2 linked regions of the Ovis aries genome follow. Each later gene encodes a partner of the first gene's protein in a complex. Links are inferred from orthologs where the notes say so. Each region holds a gene or a part of one and is shown on either strand. Other genes may lie near its edges. The genes, in order: HEATR3 and RPF2.

The links.
Region 2: HEATR3 (region 1) and RPF2 share a complex: the UniProt entries of both Homo sapiens proteins name them as parts of the hexameric 5S RNP precursor complex. The link is inferred for Ovis aries from reciprocal best matches to the Homo sapiens genes HEATR3 and RPF2.

Annotation. Positions count from the first base shown.
Region 1 is NC_056067.1:18,012,664-18,019,982, forward strand, and holds the start of HEATR3 (HEAT repeat-containing protein 3), read left to right. Parts: upstream 1-3,338; 5' UTR 3,339-3,491; coding exon 3,492-3,626; intron 3,627-3,772; coding exon 3,773-3,945; intron 3,946-4,131; exon of another isoform or gene 4,132-4,290; intron 4,291-5,777; coding exon 5,778-5,865; intron 5,866-7,241; coding exon 7,242-7,319. UniProt on the Homo sapiens protein: Plays a role in ribosome biogenesis and in nuclear import of the 60S ribosomal protein L5/large ribosomal subunit protein uL18 (RPL5). Required for proper erythrocyte maturation.
Region 2 is NC_056061.1:26,670,935-26,677,735, reverse strand, and holds part of RPF2 (ribosome production factor 2 homolog), read left to right. Parts: exon of another isoform or gene 1-43; intron 44-1,593; coding exon 1,594-1,726; intron 1,727-2,835; coding exon 2,836-2,873; intron 2,874-5,617; coding exon 5,618-5,657; intron 5,658-6,801. UniProt on the Homo sapiens protein: Involved in ribosomal large subunit assembly. May regulate the localization of the 5S RNP/5S ribonucleoprotein particle to the nucleolus.

The sequences.
Region 1 (7,319 bases):
TGGAAGACTGTAGTCCATGGGTTGCTGAGGGTCGGACACGACGGAGCAACTTCACTTTCACTTTTCACTTTCATGCATTGGAGAAGGAAATGGCAACCCACTCCAGTGTTCTTGCCTGGAGAATCCCAGGGACGGGGGATCCTGGTGGGCTGCTGTCTATGGGGTCGCACAGAGTCGGCCATGACTGAAGTGACTTAGCGGCAGCAGCAGACTGGTTAAAGGTTGCACTGCCTCTAAGACTGATGTGGGTTCTGGAAGGGCTCCTAAGTTCATTAAATAGTTTTTTGTTATTGTTCAGTCGCTAAGTCATATCTGACTCTTTGCGACGCCATGGATAGCAGCATGCCAGGCTTCGTCCTTCACTGTCTCCCGGAGTTTGCTCAAATTCATGTCCATTGTTGAGCTGGCAATGCTATCTAACCATCCCATCCTCTGTAGTCCCCTTCTCCTCCTGCCTTCAATCTTTCCCAGCACCACGGTCTTTTCCAACAAGTTACCTCTTTGCATCAGGTGGTCAAAGGACTGGAGCTTCAACATCAGTCCTTCCAATGAATATTCAGAGTTGATTTCCTTTAGGATGGATTGGCTTGATCTCCTTGCAGTCCAAGGGACTCTCAAGAGTCTTCTCCAGCACCACAATTCAAAAGCATCAGTTCTTCAGCGCTCAGCCTTCCTTATGGTCCAACTCTCATGAAATAGCTCATTATTCATTTTTTAGCAGAAATGTTAATTTCTCACAGGAAATAGTAATGAAATAGATCCCAAAGTTCTCCCTGGGTTTAAGGTTTTGAACTTTTTTTTTTTTTTTACTCATCCCTACAGTGGGAGAAATAGCAAGAATCTGTCTCTCCCTATTCTGTCTAGATTGCTTGCCCTACTCTTTCTTGATTCAGTTCAGTTCAGTCGCTCAGTCATGTCCGAGCTTTGTGACCCCATGAATCACAGCACGCCAGGCCTCCCTGTCCATCACCAACTCCCAGAGTTTACTCACACTCATGTCCATCAAGTCGGTGATGCCATCCAGCCATCTCATCTTGGGTCATCCCCTCTCCTCCTGCCCCCAATCCCTCCCAGCATCAGGGTGGTCTCTATTCATTTAAAAAAATGGCATGCTTATTTTGTGCCAGGTTTTGGCCAGTGTTGAGAAGACAGTGGTGTGTTAAAACAGGCAGTCTTATCCTCACAAGGTTTAGTGTGCGGTTGGGCCGAGCATGGGCATACTTGTAACTTAAATTTACTTGTGTATAGTTGTAATTTTGAACTGTGCTTTGAAGCAAAGGGACAAGATAAATGTCATCTCAAGAGAGATCCATCTCAGACTTCAAAATCAGAGGAGGAACCTATGAAGCGACTCTTGCATTCACCAGGACATGGGTCAGATCTGGGGCTTGCCCAAAATTCTAAGGCAGGGGAGAGGTTGGCCCTTTGGAGGATGGCTAAAGGACTGGATGCAAGAGGTGACGAGATGAAGCTGGAGGCTGGAATGAGACACTGCAGCCAGCCAAGGTTTTAATCCCTGTCCTAAAAGAAAGTGAAGCCACTGAAAGGTTTCAAGCAAAGGAATACATATGAGAAAGTTGGAAGGATATTCAGTTTGGAAAAAAAAAATCACTCCAGCTGCTCTATAGATGGGCAGACTGGGAAAGACAAGGCCAGAAGGCCATGGGGTCAAGACAAGAGCAGACAATAGCCTGGACCAGGGAGGTATGCAGATCAGTAACCAGGTAAGAGATCTAGGAAGTTAAGGTTGCCAATGTATGTCTGGGGTTTCAACTTTTCCTTATACCTAAAGCTGGTCTTTGATAGACATGAGCTTCTGTACAACTTTAGTTACACCTTCATGATTATTTTCCAAAATATACTAAAGTAGTTAATCATTTCCCTTACTAGAAAGTCAACTCTTTGAGGGCAGGGTTGCATGGAGTGGATCTTTTCTCCCATACATTGTTGACCTGCAAGCTATGTATCTATTGGGTGCTCAATATATACACATAAAGAGTACATAAGATTCTCCTATACCTTTCTCCTTTCTTACTACTTACCATAATTGTAATGAAATAGTTATTCATCACCTCTCACTAAACTGTCAACTCCATAAGGACAAGGGTAGGGTCCATATCTGTCTTGGTTATTGCTTTATCTCAATGCCCCACACTGCACCTGGTACTCAGTAAATATTTGTGAAAGAATCCTTCTGTTAAGTGAAAGTTTCAACCACACATTTATATCATGCTTATTTTGTGCCAGTCTCTGTCTTAGTATCTTACAAACATTAGAACAGTTTTTCTCACTACAACTCCACTGGGTATATATTATTAGTATCCCTATTTCACTGATGAGGAAACTGAGGCAGGAAGATTAAGCAACTTCTTAGGGAGTCCATCTTATGGACCAATATATGGACCTTGTCTAGGACAGGACCTGGACTAGGCGCAGAATAAAATCATAGTTAATATTTTGGGGCACTAGTGGTAAAGAAACCGCCTGCCAATGCAGGAGATGCCAGACATGGGCGCTTGATCCCTGGATCAGGGAAGATCCTCTAGAGAAGGAAATGGCAACACACTCCAGTATTCTTGCCTGGAAAATTCCATGCCCGTGGGGTCGCAAAGATTTGGACAGGGCTGAGCACAAAGGATAGGACAGGATAATATTTTTGAGCACCTACTCACTCTTGAGAGTTCCTTGGGCTGCAAGGAGATCCAACCAGTCCATACTAAAGGAGCTCAGTTCTGGGTGTTCATTGGAAGGACTGATGCTAAAGCTGAAACTCCAATACTTTGGCCACCTCATGTGAAGAGTTGACTCATTGGAAAAGACCCTGATGCTGGGAGGGGTTAGGGGCAGGAGGAGAAGGGAAGACAGAGGATGAGATGGCTGGATGGCATCACCGACTTGATGGACCTGAGTTTGAGTGAACTCCGGGAGTTGGTGATGGACAGGGAGGCCTGGCGTGCTATGATTCATGGGGTCGCAGAGTCGGACACGACTGAGCGACTGAGCTGAACTGATAATATACATATCAGGTTTGGAGTTAGGGGCTTTACATGGTATTTTTTTTTTAAGCCTCTCACTAAGGTTAGGCAAGTTAGGTACCCTTAATCGCCCTCGATTATTATGGAAATAGGTAAAGGTTTGGCAGATTCAGTTTCTTGATAGACGTCACTAGCTGAGGAGAGGCGGAGACAGTATCATCGTTCAAACCTAGCCTTTCCTCTTCCGAGCAGGTCCCCAGGACCTGCCTCTCCGCAAGGCCTGGCCCCGCCCACCATCCTCTCTACGCCTGCGCGCTCCCCGCGGCTGACCCCGCCCCCGCCGCAGACTCGCTATGCGCACGCGCAGTGCTTCTCCATGTGGGCGCGGGCCGTCATCCGGCCCAGCTGAGCAGTGGCAAGTAAACCCCTAGGTTGCAAGACCCTCCTGCCTCGTCTTGCTGTTCCCCTCCTCTCTCGGTCTTCCCACCCCCCACCTCCACCACAGCGGACTTCGCAATGGGCAAGAGCCGGACGAAGCGCTTCAAGCGACCTCAGTTCTCGCCTACGGGCGACTGTCAGGCCGAGGCGGCGGCGGCGAACGGGACGGAGCCAGAGGAGGACGACGGGCCAGCGGCGGAACTGCTGGAAAAAGTGAGGCGAGGGCTCGCCGGGGCCGCGCGGGGACGGGCGGGGGAGCAGGCGGCGCGCAGAGGCCCCCAGCCGTGCCGCGCGCCCCTGCCGCCGCGCCCCTGCGCGTGCGCTCTGCTGTCCCCCTGACCACTCGCTCTGTCCCGCAGCTTCAGCACCCGAGCGCCGAGGTCCGCGAGTGCGCCTGCGCGGGGCTGGCCCGGCTGGTGCAGCAGCGGCCGGTGCTCCCGGGCCTGGCTCGCCGGGACGCCGTGCGCCGCCTCGGGCCGCTGCTGCTCGATCCCAGTCTGGCGGTGAGGGAAACGGCGGCCGGCGCACTGAGGTGAGCAGGGAAGGGGGATCTGTGCTGGTGCCCTCGGATCCGGGCATCGGCGTCCAGCCAGCGCCTCCTGTGCACCTGGTACCGTCGCTCACGGGTTTCATCCTGAGTGCTCTTGTCTGCGGCACAGTTCGGGAGGGCCAAGAACTGGCTATGCTCTCCTGTTTGCAGAGGAGGGATCTGAACTCAGGCTTCGGATTCCGGAGGACCTCATGAGCCCCGGACTACACGTATTCCATCTGTCCGCCTGACTGCTTCAACTGCAGTAACCATCTGCCAAGCGTCCTCTGCTCAAGGCTTATTAACGCACGTTGTACCCTCCCCAAGGAGACTTCATAGAGTCCTGAGGTTCGGTGAACTCTTCCATTGTATGTGCCAGATTTTCTAGACGCGAGGGATTTTGAGAAAGCAGAATACTGAGCAAGACAGCCAGGATCTGCGCCTTCGCAGAACCATGTTGATGCAGAGACAGGGAACTAGTAACCAGATGAAACATAATATTAGGTTTTAAGAGGTGGTATGGAGAAACCAAGAAGGTGATAGCCGGAGGTGGGGAGTTACTTTAAATTGGATAATCTCTAGATAACATTTGTGAGCTAAGAGCTGAGGTAGCCTGGAACCAGAGGTGGACACACAGGGGAAAAGCATTCCTGACAGAGAGTAGCAACAGCAGAGGGCTTGGCACGGTTAAGGAAAGGGAAGGTTATGTGGCTGAGCAGAGTAGAGGGTGCACATTATAGGGATTGCGGCTGGAGAGACAGATAAGGACTCAGTGGTGCAGAGCTTAAGGACCTATTCTAAGCCAGAGTGACTAGTCTAATTTACCTTTTCAAAAGGGCTGGTAGCTGCACTGAGAATGGACTGTAGAGGGGGCCAGAGTAATGTTAATATTTGTAGTTCTCATAGCTCTGTGTTTGTTCTGTTTCATTCATTAAATGTAGCAGGTTTATATTGAGAGCCTGCAGTGCCAGGCAGTGGGCTAGTGGGAGTGAACAAGACACATAATTTCAGTCCTTAATGGATCTTACAGTATTGAGGGAGGCAAGCATTATGCAAATAATCACGTAAGTGTGTAATTACAACCAATGATGTTTACAAAAGATGCTATGAGAAGGGGTTTGGGGAAGAAAACTAAGGGCATGATGTTTGAAGTGAGATCTGGGGGATGAGGGGGAATTAACCAGTTGATGGAGAAAACAACATACACTGGGAGCTCCTGGAAGATGGTGAGACATCTTCTCATTTCTCTTCATAGCCTGAGTGCCTAGCACAGTGCTGTGCACTCGGAGGGTAAACAGTGTCTTCACAATGAAAATTAAATGTAGTCAGAATTGTTTCAGGGAAGGTCATTCTCAATAGCCTCACCCTTCCTATCCTTGAAGTCTTGATTCCAGAAAAAGGTCCCTTCATACAAGATCAGGCAGGAGAATTCCCTAGCAGTCCAGTGGTTAAGACTCCAAGCTCTCACTGCTGAAGGAGCAGGTTCAGTCCCTGGTCAGGGAGCTAAGATTCCATAAGCAGCATGGCATGGCCAAAAAAATAAATATCAGGCAGTAATTGATTTACATTAAATAGGAAGTCTTCCCTCTCGCTGGGTGCTGCCTCATTCCTGAGAATTACATTGTTACAAGACAGAGTCATCTGTTTAGTTCATGTAGAGCAAGGATCAGAGCAGGTGGAGTTCTGTGGATTGGTTCTGCAGCGTCTTACAGAAATCGTAAAGCAATTTCAAACGGGAAATGTTAAGTATGGGTAGAGATAGAAATAAACTTGAGCGCTTAGCATGTTTTTTGGCATGTGATCTGAAGCGGGTGTGTTTTAAACTTCTTGTGTAGAAATCTCAGCGCTTGTGGCGGTTTCGAAGTTTGTGATGACATGGTGACGAAGGATATCATGACTCCACTGGTTGCCCTTCTGAAAGAGGTATGCCACTTTCCCAAATCTCTGTTAGTGCACGCACTCCAACAGTTTGGGGTTTTGTCTTATTTCTAAGTACTTTGGTGTCATTTTGTCTTCCCTCAAAACATTCTGTAGGAATTGTTTCTTTTCCTGGAAACACTGATCTCTCATCGTTGACACTAGTCTCTAGTTTGTCCCCGCTACCTTTATTTATCTGCTTGTTGGAAAAGACCTTCCTAAAAGTATAGACTGTCTCCTTTAGACGTCAAACTTCATAGGATGAAACTAATTTGTATTTATTCGATGCTTAATTATGTGTCTTGTGTGTTATTTTCCTGAATCCTCAAAGCAGTCCTATTTGGCAGGTATTCTTTGTTATTCCTGTTTTACAGATGAGGAAGCTCAAGCATGGACATTAAGAATTTGCTGAGAAGACTAGATTAAGTTTTCAAATTTTCTAATGTGCCTCCTTTATTGCAAGATGCAGTTCAGGGATTAAGGAATTCTCCCCCTGTCATGCCTCTGGTCCACTGTTCTGTATTGATGGGTAGTTTTCACTTGAGGCCGTAGGAGGAATATCCAGGTTTGATAAGAGACATCATCATCAAAGGGACAAGACCTGTTGTCCCTTTAGAACAGTAATTCTCGTAGGGGTGATGTTCCCCACAGGGAACATTTGGCAATGTCTGGAGCCATTTTTGATTGTCACAGCTTTGGAGGAGGGGTTGCTACTGGCAGCTAGTGCATAGAGGCCAAGGATGCCGCTAAGCATCCTACACTGGGCACAACAGCAAAGTGTCCCACGTGCACCACAGCAAAGAATCATCCCGTTCAAAATGTCAGCAGTGCCAAGTTGGAGAAGCCCGATTGAGAGGATGTCATGGATTGTAGGAGGGGGCAGAACTGCAGAGGGATTCAGAGCACCCACTTCAGAGCCAGGATGCCTGGATCTGAATCCCGCTTCACTAGATACTAGGCTGCACCCTCAGCAGGCTCTCTGTACCTCAGTTTCCCATTTGTAGCAGGAGATTGGGGATAATAGTTCATCTGCATTATAGGTCTCTGGTGACAATTAAATGACTTAATCGACATGAAATGCTTAGAATAGTGCCTCATGCTTAGAAGATGCCGTATAGATACTAGCTTTTATTATGGGTTATTTTTCTTTGTCTTATATATTATCTTGACTACGTTAAATTAAATATTTTGTATTGATTTTACATTTTCACTTAAGATGTGAAATGCTTTGTATCCAGCTTGTACAGTGACTTGTGAGAACTTGATGGGCTGGTGTTAACTGTCATTTCTGATGTTTCGTTTTTGTGATTCTTCACTGCCGTTTGCATTTCTTTGTGTTTATTCTTTTGAACAAAAGTGCTAATCATGGTATTTGGTTACAGTGTAGTACTGGACTGGATTCAAATGAGATGTCCCCTCAGAAAAAAAAAGATGAGAACAGAAATTCTATTGAGAACATA
Region 2 (6,801 bases), on another chromosome or scaffold:
GGGGGAGGCTGCTGAGTCCTTGGCGGCGGCTCAGTGACTGGGCTCTTTGCTTTTTAATATGCTGTCTAGGTTGGTCATAACTTTCCTTCCAAGGAGTAAACTGCTTTTAATTTCATGGCTGCAGTCACCATCTGAGGTGATTTTGGAGCCCCCAAAATTAAAGTCAGCCACTGTTTCTACTGTTTTTCCCCATCTATTTGCCATGAAGTTGCTGGTTAATCAGAAGTCCGCAACATACAGCGGAATATGCAACATACAGCACTTTTATTGGGTTATGGATGCACTAAATCTCTCTTGGTTTGAAAATAATGTGTATCTTTATCAACCAGTAAATGATTAGAAGCTGTATATGTGCTTGATATTTTATCGGGAGGAGAGTTTTTTAAAGTCTGTATGGTACGGTATGTGTGTGTGTATTGTTTTTCTTTTCCATCCCGAAGTGTACATGGAACCGGAAGAAGGCAGGATCATAGTTATTTAAGAGAAAAATTATTTCTGTAGGTGGCAGATGGGAAATCAAGAATCTCACTGTAGTGTAAGTGGAGGTGAACAAGGCAGTGTATAAAAGCCTTCTACTCCATGTGACAGAATACAATCAGAATAATGAATTTGTTTCCCATATATAGTATAAGTGTGTATGTGTATGTATATGTATTTGGCTGTGCTAGGTGTTTGTTGCTGTGAGGGCTGCTGTCTCCTTGTGGAGCTCCGGTACCTCATTGTATTGGTTTCTCTTGTTGCGGAGTACAGGCTCTAGGGCACAGGAACTTCAGTAGCTGCAGTTCCTGGGCTCAACAGTTGTGGTGCCCAGGCTTAGTTTCTCTGCAGCATGTGGGATCTGCCCGGATCAGGGATCGAACCTGGGTCTCCTGCATTGCAGGCAGATTCTTTACCTCTGAGCCACCAGGGAAGCCCCTGTTTTCCTTTCATGTTTTGCAGGATGCAAAATGTAGCTCATTTTGAAGACTGGCCTACATGCCAAGCTGTGTGGCTTTGGACAGATTATGTCAGCTGACTCATCTGTAAAAGATTAGGCCTTAATAGACTAACTGTAATGAAGTGTCAGTTGTTATTATTCTCAGTTGGTGGCAACAGTATTTGACTTTATCAGCAATGATATTGGAGTGGGACATTGGATACTTCCTGGCAGGCATTGTGGTCTTATACCTGGAGGAAAGATAAGAAGTAATTAGCCTCCCTATGCCCACAAGTTGACTGGCAGTTGGTTCATTGTGTTCAGGTGCAGAGTACTGGTTTGATTGCTTTAAGATTAAAGAAAAAATAATAGGGTAAAAATAGCAACAGTATTCACTTGAGTCCTTGTTTTTTTAACAAAAGATTTAGAAAACAGTAATAGAATGCTGGGAATATAAAAATGGAAGTCTTTTTAAATACCAAATGTAATTACTGCATTTACTAGTAATAACTGAATATATTTTATTAATATTTCCCCCAAAATGAGATTTTGTGGAATCCTAACTAATAAATGTTATGTAATATCTCTTTGATATTTAAGAATTTGTATGTAAGTCTTGGTTTTGTGATATGAGGAAAATGTCTTAAGTTGTTATAAATTGTGATTTTTTGCAACAGAAAACCCAAAACAAAAAGAGCCAAGAGATTCCTTGAGAAGAGAGAACCAAAACTCAGTGAAAATATAAAAAATGCTATGTTGATTAAAGGGGGAAATGCAAATTCAACAGTAACACAAGTGCTTAGAGATGTGGTACGTATATTTATATATATACACACTTTTTAAATGGTGTTGAAATCATTTTAGAAAGTTTTTAGTATACTAACCTTTGCCTTTGCCTTGCCTTAAGAAATGCTAACCTTAGAAAAAGCCTAAAGTTGGAGATTGTTTGCTTTGCCAAGGAACTGACTGCTGGTTTTCCTTCCAGCTCCCTTAGTAAATTTCACCTGATTTCAATGATTGGAATTTGATTTTGTCACATTTCAAGAACATATCTAATTTGTAAAATGAGCTAACTGCATATTATATCCCTTTATTTTTTTCAACAGTACCAACTACTGTACTGGATGCTGGGGATTAATATTTATATAAGACATAATCTCTCCCTTCAGTGAGCTTAGTGAGAGAGTAAGAGTTAGAGCATTGTGAGTGATGTGCTGTGCTGGAGGTATGCACGGAGTAGGATGGGAGTCGGTCAGATAGTCAGTTCAGTTGCTCAGTCTTTGAGCGACTCTTTGAGATCCCGTGGACTGCAGCACACCAGGCTTCCTTGTCCATCACCAACTCCTGGAGCTTACTCTTAACTCACTGTCCATCGAGTCGGTGATGCCATCCAACTGTCTCGTCCTCTGTCATGGAGTAGGATGGGAGGCTGAGTTAAAATCCCATGAGGGTTGCCACACAGGGTGGGCTTCCTAGAGGTGACAATTAAGCTTCATTTTGAAGGAGTTGAAATGAGAAGAGGAAAAGGAAGAGGAAGAGAAGGGCTTCCAAGGCTGAGGCAAAAGCTTGTGCACAAAGGGAGTGTGAAGGAGCATGATACATTTGGGGAATTGCAAATAATTGGGGGTGGTTAAAGGAAAGCAGGCTAAATGAAGCTAGAATTTAAGGAAGTGAAGGGAATCATTTAAATTGGATAGAATATTGAAAGGGCATAGAAATTTTTAATTAGGAAAGTCCTGTGTCAGAATATTAAGCTTGTGTTGGAAGTTATATGTGATCAAAGGGGAGCCATGCAGAAGATATCAGAATAGGATTCAGGAGCTAGGATAACCTTGCATAATGACTGTTACAGTGCTTCACTTTTATCTCTGCTTTTCAGAATATGTTTTGTTTTGAAAGCTATAAATTATGTTTTACAGTATGCACTGAAGAAACCGTATGGCATTCTGTATAAAAAGTAAGTATGATTTCTTTTACTTATTTAATTATATTGTTTCATTATAAAAGTAACAACCAATCACTTTATGGGAGACTTAGAAAAATATTTTATTTAAAAAATATTACATTGCCTTACATACATAGCTATGCGTATTTCAAAACTTACTTCTTTCCCATTTGTGTATTCATTTGTACTGAACATTCTTACAGAGTTGTGATCATAGCATGTATGTATTTCTTTGAAATAGTAATGGACTTACAGAAAAGTTGCAAAAATACTAGTTCCCTTATACCCTTCTCCCACATCTCTTAATGTTATAACTTCTGTAAGCACAGTTATCACAAGTAAGAAATGAACATGGGGACAGTAATTTATACACACTTACTTTTTAATCACAGGCTTGATTTGGTTCATGCCAGTCTTTTCATTAATATTCTTTTCCTCTTCTAGGATCCCACATTGTGTTTAATTGTCATGTCTTCTTAGTCTCCTCCAATTTATGACAATTCCTCAACCTTTCCTCATCTTTGATGACCTTGACACTTTTGATGAGCACTTGTCAGTTATTTTGTAAAATATCCTTCAGTTTGGACTTGTCTTATATTATGAATAGATTGAGATTGTACATTTTTGGCAGTAATATCATAAAAGTGATGTGCCTTTTCAGTATATCTTACCGAGGAATATTTGATATCTTCTTACTGGTGGTGTTAAATTTGATTAAAGTGGTGTCTGCTAGATTTCCCCACTATAAAGTTGCTGTTGATATTTTCCCCTTTGTAATTAACAGATGTTTAGAGGAGATACTTACAAGTTTTCAAGTAATCCTAGTTCTCCACAAACTTCTGCGCATTCATTTTAGCATCCACCAGTGAACCCTGTCTACAGTGGTGATCTCTGTGGTGGTGCAGTGGTTTTCTGTTTCCCTGCATTCCCTCTGCATTTATTAATTGGGATTCTGTGATGAAAATCAGTCCCTCCTTCTCCATTTGTTTAAATCACTTATTTATGTCGGTGTGGACTATATATTTATTACGTTCTTTGGGGTTCAGTGCTGTCATGATTTATTTTGTTGCTAAATTGTTCTCTTTGGCCATTGGAATCTCTGTCAGGTTGGCTTGTGTGCCCTTTCAAAGTGCCCCTGTGTTTGAGCACTTCCTTTCTGGCATCACAAGATGCTCTAGGCTCATCTTGCAGCTTTCATTGCCAGAGCCCTGGAATCAGTCCTGGTTCCATATATTGGAGAAAGATAACTTAGAAACAGAGATCTGGGCATTAAGTATGGTCAGTTGCTACTGGAGTGTCATCAGTCCTCTAGCAGACAAGAGCTTGAAAATGTACATAGGTACATTAACCTATGCATGTATGCACGTCTGTATTTGTTTATATTTATCTATATATTTTAAAAGCCCTGAGTTGATATTGATATTTCCTAAAAATTCATGGGTTCGTACTACAAATTTCAGTTCTACTCCAATACCAGAGACTTCATTTGAGCCTTTCTCCTTTTCTTCTTTGTAATTTCTGTCTTCTATTTACTTGTGAATTGCTTTTGGCTGTTAATCATAAATGCTGCAGTAATTTTTCCTTTTGCATGATTTTTCTAAATAATTTTTTATTGATTATAAAAGTAATATATATTATCTTAAATAATTGGGATAAGAGTAAATAATCACTCATAGATAAACACTGTGTATATTTTCTCCTCATGTAGTTTTGTGTCTATACATCTTTTTTTTTCTTTAAACAAAATTGAGATCATGTTGTATATATGATTTTTTTCTAAGTTGGTAAAAATTATGAACTGTATTATATTTATGTGACTAAAAATTCAAAAATATACAGTGAAAATATAAATATGCACACACTCTCCTTAGAACAACCAGAATCATTAGTTTTTTGTGTATCTTAGCAGAATTTCTTCATGCATATTTGAACAAACCTTTTGCGTGGGAAGATAGCATTCTACATTTCTCTATCCACTGTCCATGTCCACTGCTAGCACTGCTGGCCCAGCCCCCCACTTTCTTTCTCTCCTGGATTACTGTGATAGCTGCTTACCGACCTCTTCACTCTTGCTGTGCTACATTCCCTCCTCACATAGTAGGCAGATCAGCCCTTTAAAAAGAACATTTGAATCCCGTCATATCACTCTTGTCTAAAATCCCCCTGTGCTTCCTGTTACTCTTTTAATAACCTTCATTCCTTACCTGAACCAGCAAGGCCCCACACTTTCTGGACCATGTCTTCATCTTTGACCTCATATCCCACCATTAACTCTTTGCTCATTAAGTTCCAGTGATGTTTGTTGCTTTCTGTTTCTTGAATAGTCTACACTTGTTTCCATCTCGGAACCTTTTCTTACTTGGTTCCCTCTTCCTAGAGTACTCTTAACCTCAAAACTCTTCCATGGCTAACTCCTCATTTGTTGGGTCTCAGCTCAAATAATCGTTTTCCATTCTTCATACTAACACGGTGCCCTGCTTTATTTTTGTCACAACACTTAGAACTTTTTGAAATTGTTTACTTTTCCTCTAGAATGTAACTTCCATGAAAGTAAGGATCATGTTTGACATGGTATTATGGTATCCCTAGCTCCTAGAACAGTGCTTGGCACTAAATAAATATTTGAATGAATAAATATCTTCCAGCTTCTTTTTTTGATCATTTGAATATATAATTATCTTTATTTAATATTATTACCTTATTGTTATGAGTGAATTGCTTATTAAAATTACAGTCACTTTTTTTTAAAACATTAGGAAAAACATTACAAGGCCATTTGAGGATCAGACATCATTGGTAAGTATAAGAATCTCTGATTTAAGAGGGCATACAAGTGATTATTCACCCTAATTCATTTAATTTAATTGTAGTCCTAACTTATGACTTTGAATTAGAAATCATCCTGTGTTACAAAATTTTGATGCAATATAAAGGGGGAATAAGACTTTTTTATTTCCAAAAATATTACTATAGATCTTATGCTTCACTATGGATAGTATGTGTTCATTGCCTGCATGTATATTGATAGAATTTTAAAGAGTTAATTATACTTTAGGTGGATAATTAATGGATTGTCCAAAGGATTTTCGTTATGGATGTTTTTATAATGCAAATTTGATTTTTAAAAAGTTTGCTTTTCTTTTTTCGAATACTTTTAAAACAGGGAGCACGACCTGACTTTTTGCGAACCATGAGAACATGACTATGTTCTCTTGGCAGGAATACCATTGCTCGTCTCATTTGGTTGTTTGCTGCGTGGCACGTGGAATCTTAGTTTCCCTGACCAGGGGCTGAACCCACTGCGCCCCCTCTGTTTTGGAAGTTCGGAGTCTTAACCCCTGAACTGCCAGGGAAGTCCCATAGTTTGTTCTTTTAGTTAGTGAATTTAATAGGAAAAGTTTTTTTTAATAGAATCTCAATGATTACTTAAAAAACTGAAATTGAGCATCTTATCCTAATGTGGCATCTAACTGCAGTGAAAATTACAATATATTAAGAAAAGTATTCTCAAAATAAATGTTGTTTTATAATTAAGTTGCTTTTATCACAGTCTTGAATTTTTCACAGTCATTTGTTGAATAGATCGTGAAAGTAAAAATGTATATAGAGTCTAGCCCAGAATTCTATCTCTTCTATACATGACTTATCCAGGGCTGGTTTTATTTTGTAATACCATGGTGCTTTTAGTTGAGTGGTCACTGTGTAGAAGTATTATGTTGTAGAATCTGTAGCATTTTTTTTTTCAATTTAATGTTGATAGGACATTTTTTCTTACACTTGAAATTATGGCTTTTACCCTCTTTGATCTTCTACTTCCAGAAACAGGAGATATTTCATTGGCTGTAATAAATTTCATACTGCTAGAGCTCCAAATGGTTGTGGAAACAGTGGTCATGTTAGAAATTTGGTTGATTTCCTCCTGACTGCCCATCCCCCAGTA